Linked DNA regions of Arabidopsis thaliana. The protein of the gene in region 2 interacts with the protein of the main gene of each other region in a pairwise test. Each region holds a gene or a part of one and is shown on either strand. Other genes may lie near its edges. The genes, in order: TT5, TT4, ARF18 and AT2G44130.

The links.
Region 1: the proteins of TT4 (region 2) and TT5 interact in binary tests that used the Arabidopsis thaliana proteins (3 or more experiments, as listed by UniProt).
Region 3: the proteins of TT4 (region 2) and ARF18 interact in binary tests that used the Arabidopsis thaliana proteins (3 or more experiments, as listed by UniProt).
Region 4: the proteins of TT4 (region 2) and AT2G44130 interact in a two-hybrid assay, tested with the Arabidopsis thaliana proteins (one study listed by BioGRID).

The regions. Positions count from the first base shown.
Region 1 is NC_003074.8:20,429,546-20,433,301, reverse strand, and holds TT5 (Chalcone-flavanone isomerase family protein), read left to right. Parts: upstream 1-1,704; 5' UTR 1,705-1,886; coding exon 1,887-2,019; intron 2,020-2,102; coding exon 2,103-2,261; intron 2,262-2,360; coding exon 2,361-2,584; intron 2,585-2,829; coding exon 2,830-3,054; 3' UTR 3,055-3,243; downstream 3,244-3,756. UniProt on the Arabidopsis thaliana protein: Catalyzes the intramolecular cyclization of bicyclic chalcones into tricyclic (S)-flavanones. Responsible for the isomerization of 4,2',4',6'-tetrahydroxychalcone (also termed chalcone) into naringenin.
Region 2 is NC_003076.8:4,486,457-4,490,776, reverse strand, and holds TT4 (Chalcone and stilbene synthase family protein), read right to left. Parts: upstream 2,302-4,320; 5' UTR 2,016-2,301; coding exon 1,823-2,015; intron 1,737-1,822; coding exon 742-1,736; 3' UTR 515-741; downstream 1-514. Other genes in the region: AT5G13940 (aminopeptidase), read left to right, coding at 1-15, 98-211, 296-514; AT5G13920 (GRF zinc finger / Zinc knuckle protein), read left to right, coding at 3,344-3,541, 3,633-3,794, 3,869-4,320. UniProt on the Arabidopsis thaliana protein: The primary product of this enzyme is 4,2',4',6'-tetrahydroxychalcone (also termed naringenin-chalcone or chalcone) which can under specific conditions spontaneously isomerize into naringenin.
Region 3 is NC_003074.8:22,886,294-22,892,014, forward strand, and holds ARF18 (auxin response factor 18), read left to right. Parts: upstream 1-1,595; 5' UTR 1,596-1,877; coding exon 1,878-1,923; intron 1,924-1,974; exon of another isoform or gene 1,975-2,194; coding exon 2,195-2,310; intron 2,311-2,393; coding exon 2,394-2,492; intron 2,493-2,562; coding exon 2,563-2,619; intron 2,620-2,710; coding exon 2,711-2,863; intron 2,864-2,941; coding exon 2,942-3,026; intron 3,027-3,113; coding exon 3,114-3,204; intron 3,205-3,283; coding exon 3,284-3,448; intron 3,449-3,538; coding exon 3,539-3,652; intron 3,653-3,724; coding exon 3,725-3,797; intron 3,798-3,885; coding exon 3,886-4,365; intron 4,366-4,446; coding exon 4,447-4,634; intron 4,635-4,744; coding exon 4,745-4,886; 3' UTR 4,887-5,162; downstream 5,163-5,721. Other genes in the region: AT3G61826 (uncharacterized protein), read right to left, coding at 338-430; AT3G61829 (uncharacterized protein), read right to left, coding at 898-1,029. UniProt on the Arabidopsis thaliana protein: Auxin response factors (ARFs) are transcriptional factors that bind specifically to the DNA sequence 5'-TGTCTC-3' found in the auxin-responsive promoter elements (AuxREs). Could act as transcriptional activator or repressor.
Region 4 is NC_003071.7:18,251,985-18,255,567, forward strand, and holds AT2G44130 (Galactose oxidase/kelch repeat superfamily protein), read left to right. Parts: upstream 1-1,625; 5' UTR 1,626-1,746; coding exon 1,747-2,976; 3' UTR 2,977-3,070; downstream 3,071-3,583. Other genes in the region: AT2G44140 (Peptidase family C54 protein), read right to left, coding at 3,122-3,288, 3,369-3,439, 3,529-3,583.

The DNA.
Region 1 (3,756 bases), on a different chromosome or scaffold from region 2:
TAAATTCGAACCAATTGAATACACATTTGAAATTAGTGTCCTTATAATTGAATTTTGATGCGCAAGTCATTTTGATGAGAAAATTAGAAGATCAAAAATGGACAAATCAAGATACATGGAGAATTAGGATATGAAAAATAGTTTTAAAATTATTGTCTATATGTATGGAACATTAGAACATTTTGGTAGAGAGTAAATGATCAAAAAAATCTGGTTATCTGAGGTGTAAAAAGATTGGCTACTGCAATAAACATGGCACAGATGTTAGAAAATTTAAAGTTAAATGATTCAAAGTTTTATATAATTTGGGACAATTCAAAATCTTGTGACTTATATAATGTGATATTAATGTATTCACTAAACTACAAAGTAAATAATTAATTTACTTTTAAATTTGGTAGAGGTTGATTTTGCAATAATGACTATTAAATGAATAAAGTTCAAACATATCACAGTAGACGTTTAATTTCGAACTACTTATGTATATAAATCGACAATACATTTAAAGTATTTAAATGCGCAGTTAAATTGAAGCCATAAAATTTGCAAACCGAAAATTTATGCTTTCAAACTGTAAACCATTTATGCTTTCACACTGATTAAAGGGCCCTTCTATAAACTTTTCCATTAAATATTTTTCATTTAAATATTAGATGATCTTAAATGGTTTACTCAAAGTAAATATATATATATATGAAGAATTAAGAAAGTGTGGAGCATTTTAAAACTTTTTTTTCTCTAGTTTTTTTTGCTTTTTTTTTTGGGCAACGTTCGTTCCCTCGAGTCTATTAAATTTTTTGCCATTTTTGTTTTTTGTTTTTTCAGTGACAAACTCACATGGATTTCATTTCAGATTCAGTTAGATTTTATTATACTTCAGCCCAGTGTAGGAACAACCGGAACCCAAAATCTAGAGAGCATTCATGGTGGGGTTCAATAGCCCATGTAATAGCCCACTTCCCGGCATCAGAACTGACAAATCCAAAATTGAATTGAAATGTGTTTATAACCCGATTAGTTTTAATATTACGGAACAAACAAATCAAAACCATAACTCAAACTAAACGAAGTCATATAATAGATATGATAAATTTATATTAAACGTTTTATTAAATATAAAAGAGTGTTAAAAGTTTTTATTTATCTAAAATGAACATAGTTAAACGAAAACCCAACCAAATCTAAGTACAATTGTTCAAAACCAAAGTGAACCAAGTTGAATTATTGTTTTTAATTCACAAAACGATTTGTTGAAATAAGGGCTGAAGTCGTAGAAGCTTTAATAGATAAGAAAAGAAAGAGATATGTTGATATTGAGAATACCCAAAAAACTAGGATTTCTGAATATTAGAAACTAGAGAACGTAAGAAATTCTTTGATTTTTTCTTTGATTTTCCGAAAGTAAGAATTAGAGAATACTTTTTCTGAAAAGCTATTTTTTTTTTTTTTAATTTTATTGATCAATCAACTGAATACTGAATACAAAAGAAAACCTGATTTATTTATAATAAAACTCAATTTATTTATAATATAATTCAAAAACCTAGATAAACTCTAAAATAATCATATAATTATCTCAAATAACCAAAATATATAAAATCAATAATATGAAAGATAACGATAGAAAATATTTGAAATTATCCTAACTATGTGCTCTGCATATTTAAGGGCTCAAAGCTTCAACCACCAATTGTCAATGCATCTCCCAATCAAAATATAAAAAAAGAGACGAAAACGAAAGTACACGTGCTTACACATCCAACACTCGTAATCGTAACTATTGCTACCTACCCTTCTCTCTTCTACTTAACCCCAAAGGCCCCAAAAACACAATCAAGAAAAGCTCTGTAACATTATTATCAATCGAAATTCCAACCGACTCAACAATGTCTTCATCCAACGCCTGCGCCTCTCCGTCACCGTTCCCCGCCGTCACGAAGCTTCATGTAGACTCCGTCACGTTTGTACCGTCCGTCAAGTCACCGGCCTCCTCCAATCCATTATTCCTCGGCGGCGCCGGTTCGTTTGTTTGCTCTGTTCTTCTTTATCTTCTTCTTTTTCTTCGTGTTGCTGACTACGTTCCGTTTTGCTAACTTACGCAGGTGTCCGAGGCCTTGATATCCAAGGTAAATTCGTGATCTTCACCGTCATTGGAGTATACCTAGAGGGTAACGCCGTTCCTTCTCTATCTGTCAAGTGGAAGGGAAAAACTACGGAGGAGCTAACAGAATCTATCCCGTTCTTCCGTGAAATAGTCACCGGTAACTTTCTTATAAACACCAATTACTAAACGTACACGTCAAGCTAGGTTTAATCGTCTTGTTTTCAATCTTATGATTGGTTTTTTGCTTCCTTTTTAGGTGCGTTTGAGAAGTTTATCAAGGTGACAATGAAACTGCCGTTAACGGGACAACAATATTCGGAGAAAGTGACGGAGAATTGTGTGGCTATATGGAAACAATTAGGGCTTTATACGGACTGTGAAGCTAAAGCTGTGGAGAAGTTCTTGGAGATCTTCAAGGAAGAAACATTCCCTCCCGGTTCATCGATCCTCTTCGCTCTCTCCCCTACCGGCTCTCTTACGGTAATTTTTGCTTGATTTATACTTTGCTTGAATTTTGTTAATCGTTAGTGCAAATATCAAATTGGAATGAGATACTTGACATGCTTTCGCATTTAAACCACTTGCGAAGGTACTGTTTTAGGTTTTTTAAATGTAAGTACTATTGTAAAAGTTGGCGTTTGGAAGTTTGGAACGATAGTAGTTGTAACGTGTAGGTTTGAATACTTTGTTGACATGTGTTTGTTGTGAACTATACTGTTTTGTAGGTTGCGTTTTCGAAAGATGATAGTATCCCTGAAACCGGGATCGCTGTGATCGAGAACAAATTGTTGGCGGAGGCGGTTCTGGAATCTATCATCGGGAAGAACGGTGTGTCACCTGGCACTAGGTTAAGTGTTGCAGAAAGATTATCTCAGCTAATGATGAAGAACAAGGACGAAAAGGAAGTTAGTGATCACTCTGTTGAGGAAAAACTAGCCAAAGAGAACTGAGAATGATAGATTTTTCTTGTGTTTTTGTCATTTTCTATTTCTTATGTTTTCTATATCTAATTTCTTATGCGGTACTCAAGTGGAGAATAAAGAACATGCATTTACATTATAATAAAGTTTAGGAATTTCGGTGTTTTTCTTTGAAATGCTATTCTAACTTGATTTGATGATATATATGTCAAAGATGATTCAACCGTTGAGGTTTAGATGGGAGTTACTCGGAATCAGATTCCAAAAAACTCTGATAAACCTTATTCGCCAAAAACGTTATTAAAGGATGGTGCTTGACATAAGGAAATTATGGTCCAATAAATTGGAATACTCGGTTGTATTAAAGCAGAGAATCTAACGCTTTTTTGTGGGTTGCGTTTAGCATTGGTTTTGGACTTTTCGGTTACATTTTTGGGGAGTCTAATTCTGTTGAAGAAGAGAGAATAGAGAAGAGTGAAACAGATCATAAGCAACAACGTTTCGAGCTCAAAACAAAGAAGCAACGAGCATTTTCAATGAAAATTTGGTCTTACATTGAGGTTGTTGTGATGAGTCAGACAGGTTCAGTCCTGTATGTTATGTTTTGATTTGAATTTGACTTTAAGATATTGATCCGGTCTTTGATTTGGCCTATGGATCCGCAGGCCAGTCCGTGGTTCACTTGTAATATGTAAAGAAAAACATTGTGGAGCGACTCGCTCATTGTTGGAC
Region 2 (4,320 bases):
TGTCCCACAAGCAAGGTATGTGTACTCTGCAAATTTCTTATATGAATATACGAAAGCCGCATACATGTAGAGGCTGACTCAAAAGATGCAATGAAAGGAGGAGCTTGACATGAAAAGTGAAGCATTCATCAAAGAAGAATTTAACGAAAGCTGCAATTTCGACGTGGATGATGCTATCACAAAGCTTGAGAAGCTTGGACTTGTATCTCGTGTGAGTCCCTTGCTATACCTCTCTTCTAATCAGAATGTTCCTCTGAATATGTTCAGTTAAGTAAATATTGTGAGGGCTGGTCAGGATTCAGAAGACAAGTATAGATGCGTGGAAATGAAGGAAGCAAACGAGATAATGGGGACAACTACGGAAGAGATGGTACTCAAGGCAAGACAAGGTGGAGAATATGAAGACGAGGATACAACAGCGACAGAGCCTCAAATGAATCCTCAAGATAAACTTACAGCAAAGGAGGAACGTTTTCAATCTCGGTATGATGAGTTTGAGACCTTGTGGATGTAACAAAGATTTGATGTCATTCAAGACCCATAGATTTAATATTGTAAAAAGACACAAAAAAGAGAGTACAAAAACAGTCGAATAGACCTGTCCAGCACATATCACATATCACATCAAATGAATTCTTCCTTAATTATTGCGTAAACATATAATGATTATATTATATAAAACATAAGACAGGATTAAAGTTTTGCGTAGGTAGGTAGGCAGATAGAAGGCAAGCGTTCTGTTTAGAGAGGAACGCTGTGCAAGACGACTGTCTCAACAGTGAGACCTGGTCCGAAACCAAACAAGACACCCCACTCCAACCCTTCTCCTGTCGTGGCCACACCATCCTTAGCTGACTTCCTCCTCATCTCGTCTAGTATGAAGAGAACGCACGCGCTCGACATGTTTCCATACTCGCTCAACACGTGACGTGTCGCCCTCATCTTCTCTTCCTTTAGTCCTAGCTTTATCTCCACCTGGTCTAGGATCGCTGGACCTCCAGGGTGGGCTATCCAGAAGAGGGAGTTCCAGTCACTTATCCCCAAAGGTTTAAACGCTTCGTCTAGACTCTTCACAATGTTCTTGGAGATGAGGCCGGGAACATCCTTGAGGAGATGGAAGGTGAGACCAACTTCCCTCAAATGTCCGTCTATGGCACCATCAGAGTCTGGAAGGATGGTCTGAGCGGCAGACACCATCTCAAAGATGGGTTTCTCTCCGACAGATGTGTCAGGGTCCGACCCCACAATGAGTGCGGCGGCGCCATCACTGAAAAGAGCCTGACCGACGAGGGAGTCAAGGTGGGTGTCAGAGGGACCACGGAAGGTAACGGCTGTGATCTCAGAGCAGACAACGAGGACACGTGCTCCACGATTGTTCTCGGCGAGATCCTTAGCGATACGGAGGACAGTACCGCCGGCGAAGCAACCTTGCTGGTACATCATGAGACGCTTGACGGAAGGACGGAGACCAAGAAGCTTGGTGAGCTGGTAGTCAGCACCAGGCATGTCGACGCCGGAGGTAGTGCAGAAGACGACATGAGTGATCTTTGACTTGGGCTGGCCCCACTCCTTGATGGCCTTCACTGCCGCTTCTTTGCCTAGCTTAGGGACTTCGACCACCACGATGTCCTGTCTGGTGTCCAGAGAAGGAGCCATGTAAGCACACATGTGTGGGTTTTCCTTGAGGAATTCCTCCGTCAGATGCATGTGACGTTTCCGAATTGTCGACTTGTCGCCTGTGAATAGTAAATACTTGTTAGCTAAACTATGTGAATGAAGATATATGCCAAAGGAAATGAAAGTAGAAGTTAATAAGACGTACACATGCGCTTGAACTTCTCCTTGAGGTCGGTCATGTGTTCACTGTTGGTGATGCGGAAGTAGTAGTCAGGATACTCCGCCTGAAGCACATGGTTCTCAGGGTTAGCAGTGCCAATAGCCAAGATGCCTGCAGGTCCATCAGCTCTCTGAGCCTGTCTGATCTCATCCAAAGAAGAAGCACCAGCCATCACCATTATAGTATACACCAACTTGGGTTTATTAGAGTTTGATGTTGCTGTTGTGTACTAAACAAGTTAGGTGTATTTGGAAATATACCGGAGAGTGAGAGCTTATATAACAAACTGACACGGGAAAAAGAAGATGAGAGTGTGGTAGGTTAGATGGACGGGCAGATGAAGATCTACGTGTCTAGTTGTTAGCCCCCTTTTCTGTGGTTCTTCTTGCTTCCCTTTTTTTTCGTTACTTACCAAGATTGAATGGTGGGTTTTAAATCTTTTGATTGATTTATATATTTGCAACAACAACAACTCATATTAATTTCTACTATATGCCTATTTATTATATATATACAGGTGTATACTGTATATATATCTTAAGATATTTATTATGAGTAAGATATATATTTATTATGTCTTAAGATACGTATCGCTTGTGATAAAAGAATAAAAATTAATACGTATACACCAACAAAGGGCTTTGTTGTATAGTTTCTTCACCATACAGGAGGTTTCACTTCCCAGTTCTTACACGTGCATACTTAACTCCATCATTAGCTCCTACTAATCTAATATTCATTCTTCATTTTTACCTTATGATCCTATAACTAGGCCCAAACAAAAAAAAAGTCCTATAACTAACGACTAATTAAGTAGTGTTACATTAGGTACGCCTCGTTTTCTTTCTCTCACCCCCCATCATAGTGATATCTGTCTGAAAATCTGCCCTATTTGCGCTTTCCAACGGAAGATGCCAAGATGCATTTATTTTGTTTTTCATTAACCATCAAAATAAAATTACTAATGTTCATCACATTCTTTTTGGTATGTGTATTCCACTCGTTTTTATTGTTTTTTGTTTTATCGACCTAACAATAGTTTTAATTGGAAAAATTATACCATAGGCCCACATGGGTTATGAACCATATGTGCCGGGCCCATTATGACAGAGAAATCACAAAACCCGAATGTGTGAAAATTCAATTGCAAGGAAGGACTCCAAACCGTTTTCTTTTAATCCGGTTGACCCGGCCTACCAAAACCGCCAAATCCATTATTGACGGTTAAATATGATAGGCATGCGAGGCGTAGACGCCGTAGAGTCATATCCGCAGAAGCCTATAGATGTTATTTGGTCAGCTGTAGTTTTTAACCGATCAGAACGACATGGTTCTCATATTATACACAACACACTTGTTTCGTTAATCTGCTTAAAGTCTTCAGGCCCATTAAGCCCGTCCCATATTCAGCATGTTTTGTTCAGTCATAGCTAAAAATAAATTATGTGGGCTTAAAAAAGATGACCTGGCCCATATTAACATCCCGAGAAGGAGAATGTTCGACGAATGCTTAACGGCACAATGCAGACCGGAGATTGCTTCCGATGCCGTCAGGCTGGCCACTGGATCAACGATTGTCCTCTCAAATCCTACACCGATGATCCTCCACCGGCGATCCAATGCCCATGCGGCGGAGGTTTCTGTGAAATCAAGGTCGCGAATACTCGAGAAAATCCCGGAAGGAAGTTCTACAAGTGTCCAACGGTTCGTACTCGCTTTCTTTACTGATTCTTCATCTCCTGCAAAATTCGCGAGGAAATTTGAATTTGTTACTGACGACATTTGAAATTCGCAGGCTCAGAATTGCTGTTTCTTCAAATGGTGTGACAAAGTAACCGACGAAGATATCAAATTCCGTCCTGCCTTCACCATCCCGATTTGTTCCTGCGGTGCTGGACCTTGCCGGAGAGTTAAAGACGTTTCCGGTAGAGCTTACCTGATATGCTGCATCAAAAAGGTTTTGACTCGTTCGCAAGTTTAAAGCTCATAGTTGATAATTCTGGTTAACATTGTTTTAAGAAATTGTGTTAGGGATTTGGAGCTTGTGGATTCTTCAAGTGGGAAGATGTTGAGATGATTCCTAGTTGTGATGTTATGGATGAGATTGATTTTTGGGTTGAAGCTGATCAAATTTTGAGTGATGTTGAGAGTAGCTTACAGGCTCGTGGTGGTGTTATACCGGAAATTGCAAACCAAATGGCATCAGAGAAAGAATGTCAAGCTTCTGTTAGTGGTATAGAGGATGATTGTGTAGTAGAATGTCAAGATTCTGTTAGTGCAGAGGATGATTCTACATTAGAAAATTTGGATTCCATTTCAATGTCTGTTTCTGATGTACACTCTACTGCTCTGAACCAAGGTACTTCACTTATGGACAATTTTGATTCTATTAAAGTATTATGCTTGGAATACACTTTTTTGTTCTTTGAACTCTTATGCTATTTACTAGGTATCTCTCTGTTTGATCCGGTTACGAGCGAACC
Region 3 (5,721 bases), on a different chromosome or scaffold from region 2:
AGGCTATGTAATATCGTCGACGTTTTCTAGGTAAATCTTAAGCTATAAAAAAGATTTTGAAACCCAAATAGTATCGAGTGATAGCATTAGTCTCATCGGGTGGTTACAAGCCAACATTGATTCGTGTTGCAAATTTTATTAAATACAAGGGTGTACACAAATCAAAACGCAATAATATTTTTGGATCATAGTCTTTCTTCACTATCATTGGGAAAAATAAAATAAAATAAGAAAAATAGCGATAGAATTTCCTCTGTAAATGAGCAAAATTGGTAGGACAAGTCAGCATTTGACACGTGTCGGTCATGAATACGACTAAACAGCGTGGCAATTTCTCTTACTCTGACGTGTCCATGTGGGGACCACTTTCTCCTCCGACACTTCGGCATGGCTTTCTCAACTTTTTATCACTCTTCTTCACCATTCTCATTTACTAAGCGCGTGTCTCCCACCTCTATCCGATTTAATTTTTTAAATTTGACGTTTCAAAAGTTCCTTCTATAAAAGCAATTAACGATAATTATATGAAATCCGTAAACATGAATTTTTCAAATAATTTCGATTTTTGATTTGCTAAGATTAAAAGCGCGTGAAAGAAAAAAAAGAATACAGCATGAACACCAGCGACTCAGAACTGACTCGGCACGTGGTAACATAAAACTCACACGCTTCCCAAGACGCTCGTCCCATAAAGAGTCATGGCTGTGACCTTGTGCGAGTGTGGGTGTAGCCATAGCCTTTGTGGGTCCTAAATAAAAAAAACGATCAATGGCATAATGTGTAATTAACTCACATTCCACAGTGTTAAATAAAAATTAAATCTGTAACGGAAAAAACAATCTATCTGATGTTACACAAAAAAAAAAAATAACGGAAAAAAGAAAATGTGGCCGGGGTTTAATAGAGAAGCCGACACGTTTGCCTGCCACGATCCAGACACAAGACGATGTGGGTAACGGCACCGTCAAGTGCTAACGGCAACGGGGTCATCAGTAAAAAGGGCAATTTAGGGATATAGAGTAAAGTCATAAGCTTATTTATTACTATCGTCTTGATCGGACGGCTGAGATTTGCCCTCTCCTTTAAATGCACCGTACGTTTTTTTTTTACATAATAAAATGTAATTAGTTCATAAGCAATTCCCAAAACGCCGCGTGACCCTTCGTTTGCCTTTGAATACAATTTGTTTTATTTTAGCGCATTTAATATATTTGAGTTTCCTTTTTAGCGATGACATGATAAAACAAAAAACAACAATTTTAGAAAACATTTAATTAAATGAATAGAAAAATAGGGAGATTCAACTGAAGTTACTGTGGGTGGAAATGACAGGTCTCCAGGATCTGAACTAAGAGAAAGTCTCTCTATATTTTGATATATAGAGAGAGATAAAGAAGGAGAGAGTGTGAATATATGTATGTGCATGATACTGTGAGACTTCTTCAGTAAAGGAAGCAGCTTTGGTTTGCTGCGGATCGGGATAAAAACGGCGAGAAGTTTGTGATTGTTGAAGCAAAACAACACGGAATCTGAAAGGAAAGGAGAAGACAAAAAAAAAAAAAGATTTTAAGAGGAAGAGAGAGAGAGATCGGTTTCGTGGCTGACGGAAAAAAAAAGGGGAGAGATTTAGTTTTATCCAACAGTGCCTGAATTACGTTCTGCAATCAATACGGACATAACCGTCCGTTGTGTCCTGTTTATAAAGTTTTGCTTTTTTTATTTTCTCCATTGATGGGTCTTTTCTTTCTTCTCTCTCTCGTGTTTCTTTCATGGGGTTAAGACTAGTGTTTACCGCGTGAAGGTTTTTTTTTCTTTCTATTTTCTTTCATTTCCTCTCCTTCTACTTCTTCTTCTCCAGTTCTCATCTGGGTTCTTCAATGGCGAGTGTTGAAGGTGATGATGATTTCGGAAGTTCTTCGTCAAGTGAGTAGTAAAAGGCTGAGACTTTAGAAAGTTTTGTTTTTTTTTTTGTTTCTAACAGTGACTCTGTTTGGGGTTTTACTCTGTAGAATCAAAATCAGCTTTGTAAAGTTTCGATTTTTTTTTCTTTCATTTTCTCGGGAGACGAGCTTAGAAAGAAATAGAAAAAACCCCAACTTTCTTATTTTTCTCGTATAGCTTCAAAGTTCACATTTTTGTTATAGTTTTGCCGCGGAAATGTGACTGTTAGGGTTTTGTTGTTGTTTGATTTTAGGGTCTTATCAAGATCAACTATACACAGAGCTATGGAAAGTTTGTGCAGGTCCATTAGTGGAAGTTCCTCGTGCTCAAGAGAGAGTTTTCTACTTCCCTCAGGGTCACATGGAACAAGTATATACCCACCCAAAAATCATCTCTTTTTACCCCAATTTTTCTTTTTCCATTCTCTTTCTAAATTCTGGGTTTTTTTGCAGCTTGTGGCGTCAACTAATCAAGGAATCAATTCAGAAGAAATACCTGTTTTTGATCTTCCTCCAAAGATACTTTGTCGAGTTCTTGATGTCACTTTAAAGGTAAAGTTGGATCATAAATGTTAAAATGTTTTATTTCCCCTGAATCTGTTAACTAAATTTTGATTTATAGGCGGAGCATGAAACAGATGAGGTTTACGCTCAGATCACATTACAACCAGAGGAAGATGTAAGTTCTTAAAAAAAAAACTCAACTTTATTTCAGTGAGTGTTAATTTATATTGATTGGAATTGATTTCAATTTACTGTTTTGTTTGCAGCAAAGTGAACCAACAAGTCTTGATCCACCTATTGTTGGACCAACTAAGCAAGAGTTTCATTCGTTTGTTAAGATTTTAACGGCTTCAGATACAAGCACTCATGGTGGATTCTCTGTTCTTCGTAAACACGCCACTGAATGCTTGCCTTCTTTGGTAAATATATTCTTAAAGAAACCTTCTCAATTCAAGAAACTTTAGCTTGAATTCTCACTCCAATTTTACACTTTTTAGGATATGACACAAGCTACTCCTACTCAAGAACTTGTGACTAGAGATCTTCATGGCTTTGAATGGAGGTTTAAGCATATATTCAGAGGTATTGATTCTAATCTTGGTGTGTTTTTGTGAAACTGTGTTTGGACTAAATGAGACATTGACTCATTGAGTGCCGTTTTTGGTTTAGGACAACCACGGAGGCATTTGCTTACTACGGGTTGGAGTACATTTGTATCCTCGAAAAGACTTGTAGCTGGAGATGCTTTTGTGTTCTTGAGGTACTTTTGAAATTGAAACTTTATTCACTGGTCTTGTTTAGTTTCATGAACCTAAATGTAATGCCTTTGTGTTTTTCAGGGGTGAGAATGGGGATTTACGGGTTGGAGTGAGACGATTAGCTCGGCATCAAAGCACAATGCCTACTTCGGTTATTTCAAGTCAGAGCATGCATTTGGGAGTTCTTGCTACAGCTTCTCATGCTGTGCGTACAACAACAATCTTTGTTGTCTTTTACAAGCCTAGGTATATAGTAATGTTCTTTAGATGATTTTGCTTTATATACATAGATGGTTTAGGACTCTTTGATTGAAGAAAAGTTTTCTCTCTTTGCAGGATAAGCCAATTCATAGTTGGGGTGAACAAGTATATGGAAGCTATAAAGCATGGATTTTCTCTCGGTACCCGATTCAGAATGAGGTTTGAAGGAGAAGAGTCTCCTGAGAGAATGTAAGAATCCATTTTCTCTGATCATTTCTTTTTTGTCAGTGTTCTTGATTCTGAAACCTGGAACGTCTTCAGATTTACTGGTACGATTGTGGGAAGTGGAGATCTATCTTCACAATGGCCAGCTTCTAAATGGAGGTCATTGCAGGTTCAGTTAACCATTCCACGTTCTTACATTTTAGTGTTTTACTTATTACGTGGTCTTTATATAACGTTTTTGTCTTGGTCTTTCTTAGGTACAATGGGATGAGCCAACAACAGTTCAGAGACCAGATAAAGTCTCACCATGGGAGATAGAGCCTTTCTTGGCAACTTCCCCAATTTCAACTCCTGCTCAACAACCACAATCGAAATGCAAGCGGTCAAGACCCATCGAGCCATCAGTTAAAACACCAGCCCCACCTAGTTTCTTGTACAGCCTCCCTCAGAGCCAAGATTCCATTAATGCATCCCTTAAACTGTTTCAAGATCCATCACTTGAGAGAATTTCAGGTGGATACTCCTCAAACAACAGCTTCAAACCCGAGACTCCTCCTCCTCCAACGAATTGTAGCTATAGGTTGTTTGGATTTGATCTCACAAGCAATTCTCCTGCTCCAATCCCTCAAGACAAGCAACCGATGGATACTTGTGGAGCTGCCAAGTGTCAAGAACCCATCACTCCAACCTCAATGAGTGAGCAGAAGAAGCAACAAACATCAAGAAGTCGAACTAAAGTAATTTTCTTTATCAACTCATATAATAACATAGCAACAATGTTTTGAAAATCTGATTTCTTTGATCTTGGATTGAAAAAGGTGCAAATGCAAGGCATTGCGGTTGGTCGTGCGGTTGATTTAACACTGTTGAAATCTTACGATGAACTGATTGATGAGCTTGAGGAGATGTTTGAGATTCAAGGACAGCTTCTTGCCCGAGACAAATGGATCGTTGTCTTCACTGATGATGAAGGAGATATGATGCTTGCTGGTGATGATCCGTGGAAGTAAGTTCTAAAATAACAGAGTTAAACATTTCCGGTTTAGCTCAAATCAGTTAAATGTGAACTTAAACCGGAACTGATTTTGCAATGTTCTGTTGTGTGGGATTGTGCAGTGAGTTTTGCAAGATGGCAAAGAAGATATTTATATATTCGAGCGATGAGGTTAAGAAAATGACAACGAAACTGAAGATTTCTTCGTCGTTAGAGAATGAGGAATATGGTAATGAATCATTCGAAAATCGTAGTAGGGGGTGAGAGTTTTAGCTGTTAATTAAGGTTAATTCGGCGACGTCGTTTTAGTGCGTAAGTGTCTAAAGACTTTTTTTTTAGTCTGTGTATATAAAGTCTTGTCCTCTTTTTCATGTCAATTTTTCAAGTTGGCGATTTAATATTTCGGTTTTGGGACAGTGGTTGATGGGGCGGTTTTACATCTTTTATGTGTATGTACTTGTTCCATAACCATTCAATTTTCAAAACCAAGTACATTCAATTAGTTATGGGTTCAAAGATTATATTTCTAATCAATAATTAAGGCTTAAAAAAAAAAAAACTACAGTATTAGAGAAGAATACAAAATACGTGAAGGCGTGGAAATCAACGCGGCGGGCATCATATGAAAGTCATGGAAAAGTAAAGGAGTCAAACGACTAGTTAAGATTCTCTTTTGGAGTTGGTAAAAATATTTGTGGATTAATGAACTTCTAGGATATAGTGTTATTAGAAAATTGAACTGAAATCGAAAAAAATGAAAACTAAACTTTGGAAGTTCATGTTATCGTGCCAAAAATAAGTCTCCATGATGTTCTCTATAAAAATTCTTAAGTTTTAATTTCCAAACCTTTTAGCTGCATCAGATTTTTCTTTAATAAAATGCAAATGACAAAAGAAAGAAAATCTATTTTGTTTTCGGATAAAGTCACATATGAAGTGTATACTGTAGTTGATATTTGTCAAAAAAAAAAATATTGTTTTAAACTTTTAATTCAGATTTGCCTTATAATGAAGAAGAAAACAATACAATTATTTTCAAACTTAGTATTGGTTTGGTGGTGGTTATGTACTTATGTAGTATGGAGCAACTGTTTTTTTT
Region 4 (3,583 bases), on a different chromosome or scaffold from region 2:
ATGGACCAGCCCCCTATTAATGTTCGACCCCATTCTTATTATTTTCCTTCTTATCCCCGACTTTCATTTTTCTTCTTGTCTATCTATGTTCATATCGTGCGCTAACACCCAAATTAATCTTCTTCCCTTGAAACATGTTTTAAATAACGGCACAAATAGTAAGCGTAGATTCATAAATAACCCCAAAGTAAAACAACAGAAAGCATCATTAATTATCCGGTGGAGACGAGATGACTTGTGTGAGGCTGGAAGTCCGCGAGACATACCTTTACGTCGGTGCATCGCAGAATAGACGTGTCAACGTTTTAATATAATATGTTGAATAATCGAAGAGTAAGACCCAAGGATAGTTAATGCCAATGTATATCCATGAGAACTTCTTCTAGAAGACTATAATAAAGTAGAAACCTTTATAAAGTTATAATCAATCATAATATTATTGATGAATCTTATATTCAAACGAAACTGCCCTCGCAATTTTCTACGTAAAATAATACGTATTACAAAATTAAAAACACATGATGATATCTTACAACTTATAACAACTAAGCACAAATTTTTTGGCAAAACATAAAGAATCTATACATATGGACTATTCGTGAAAGAATTTGTTTGATAGTGCGTGCACATGCCAATATGAAATGAAAATGTCCATCATACATATTAATATACCTGTTTTAAATTGTAGTAAATTAGGGAGAAACAGTTCACGAGATGTTTACTTATCGGTTGACGGTTGCGTCAGTGAATACGACTCATTCCTTATTACTCCATATTATTTGTCTTTGCATAGCTTCTAGAAGCTTTTTGTTATTTCAAATAAAAAGTGATGGTAAAGACTAAAAAGCTCACTACTGGTCTTCGTGAACTTTATTATCAAGATGTCATAGATTCGGTTTCAATTGACACTGAAATGGAATAGTAATCTAGATATCTAGTTGATAAACTAGTTTAAAAAGTTATTAGTTCAAACTGTTTTTAAACTATAGACGCTATACAGTGGTAAAAGCGTTAAACAAAAAGTGCGGCGCAGTATACTGTCAATTTAATTTGTGATTATAATATACAATATTGTTACCTAACTTCACTTAACCAAGTAACCACTGACCTAACTTCAACTATTTGCCTTTACAATTTACATCATGAAACAACATGGACATTTCTTGAATTTTTGGTTGATATTCAAATAATCAAATTCTTATGGAGTATATGATTTACTCCACTGTTAGTTGTTCATTTTGTCCTTATGAAAGTCTTCTAGAAGCTTTCTACTTTTCCTGTTTTATGAAAAGATTGTTTTAACAAAAGCACCGTCTTCATGAACTAAACCAGTTGTTATAGATTCCATTTCAAAGTTTTATTCCTTATTAAGGAAATCGCATCAAAGTAACCCATGTGTTGACTCTTGCCTGTTTGGTGAGATTGAAAGGGAATGATTAAGAAATAAATTTTTAGATACGTTTGCGTTTTGCAACATACACGAATCTTGATTTTTTTCATACGCTGCTAAATCAAGTTTATAGGGGTTTTTAAAAATTTAAACGAACCGTCGCGTTATTTCAACCGCAAGCAAACTCATCCTCCTCTTTCCCTATTTAAAGGCTCTGCCACCTCTTTGTAGCTTCACACTCACTCAAATTTAAATCGCAACTTTCGTCAGTTTTTGTGTGTTTTCTTCTACACATAGACACTTTGCTCAATCAAACACACTCTCTGTTCTGTTTTTCTCAAACTTGTTTAAGTTCGATGACTATGGAAGTGTCGAAAAAGAAAGGTGGAGATTTTCAGCAATGTCACGAATTGATTCCCGGTTTACCTTCCGAACTAGCTTTGGAGTGTTTGGTCAGAGTTCCGTTCCAATTCCAATCCGCCATGAGATCCGTTTGCCGTTCTTGGCGTAGCTTACTCTCCGACTCTTCTTTTATCCAAGAACGGCGGAGATGCGGCAAAACAGAGCTTCTCCTCTGCCTCGTTCAACCGCTAACGCCGCCAATTCCAGCGTCTAAATCGGTTGACGAGACATTAATGGTTGACGAGAAAAAATCAGAGGATGAGTCACACCCGCGCGTTTTCTGCACGCCGCGTTTTGGATTGAGCGTTTACAACGCTGCGATGTCCACGTGGCATCGCGTTGCGTTTCCAGAGGAGGAGCAGATCCCGCTTTTCTGCGAGTGCGTCGTGCTTCAGGACGCCGGGAAGATTCTGCTCATCGGCGGTTGGGATCCGGAGACGTTACAGCCGACGAGAGACGTTTACGTTCTGGAATTCGCCGGAAGGAAGTGGAGACGAGGTGCGCCAATGAAGGAATCACGATCATTCTTCGCCTGCGCCTCCGTAAGTCCAACGAAGGTATACGTCGCCGGAGGTCACGACGATCAGAAAAACGCTTTACGCTCGGCGGAGGTGTACGACGTCGAGAAAGACGAGTGGTCGTCGGTTACTCCGATGACGGAAGGAAGAGACGAATGTCAAGGATTCGCCGTTGGTATGGGTCTAAGGTTTTGCGTGCTGAGCGGTTACGGAACGGAATCTCAAGGAAGATTCCGATCTGACGGAGAAATTTACGATCCAGCGACAGATTCATGGTCGAGAATCGACAACGTCTGGCGATTTCCAGATACTAGCCCGAGAGGTCGCACCGCCGGAGACTTTAGAAGCTCCTCTACGTTATGGTGTTTCACAGACACTGATTTACAGAGTGAACGTCGATGGGAAACTAACGATGATTCGAGAAATTTGAAACTGGATCTTCAATCTATACAGCTTCCGATGACAGGAAGCTCAGTTTTCGCCGGAAGCTTAGGAGGTGAATCGGTGGTAATGATTGGCGGTAAAAGAGAGAGTGAAGGTGAAGGTGAAGGAGGAGTGATGATGAAGATGACGACTGAGAAGAAAATGGGAAAATGGAGTCATCATGTTCATATACCTTGTGATTTCTCTACTCTTCCATTTTCGCATGCTTCAATCTATGTTTGAAAATCCCAAAAGATTTTATAGTACAACATTGTGTTCTGATCTGATGTAATATACACCAACACATATAAAAAACAAAGAACTGGTTAACAAAAGGAAAAAAAGAATTGTAGCTTGAGATTGTTAAAATGTTTGACGATGATCATGATCAGAGCATTTGCCAGTCATCTTCACGTTCATCCTCGCTGTCGTCATCCGCAAACCCGTAGTTGCTTTGGTTTATCGCTGTGTGGGTTTGAGTCACTGTGAACAATGGAGCACCGTTTGATTCCTCAGCTAGTTTCAATGCTCGGAGACAGAAATCGTCGAAATCATCTGTTGAAGATTAGGGAAAGGTTTTTTCAAGTTACAGAATTTAAAAACTTTTGGTTTCAGAGAATGTAGTAATACAATACCTTTGTCGCGGCAATAGAATCCTAGAGCTAGAGATGGGTCGAGTGATTCCAAAGGAACATAACGAAGGACACTGATGCAGATTCAAGATAAAATTAAGAAACAAGATAAAACTGAACCAGGCAAAAGTCGTCTGTGACATGATAATTTGAGGAGACTCACTTGCAATGATAGGAGGATGTGTCAACATCTGGTGTTTCCTTGTTGACTGTGACCA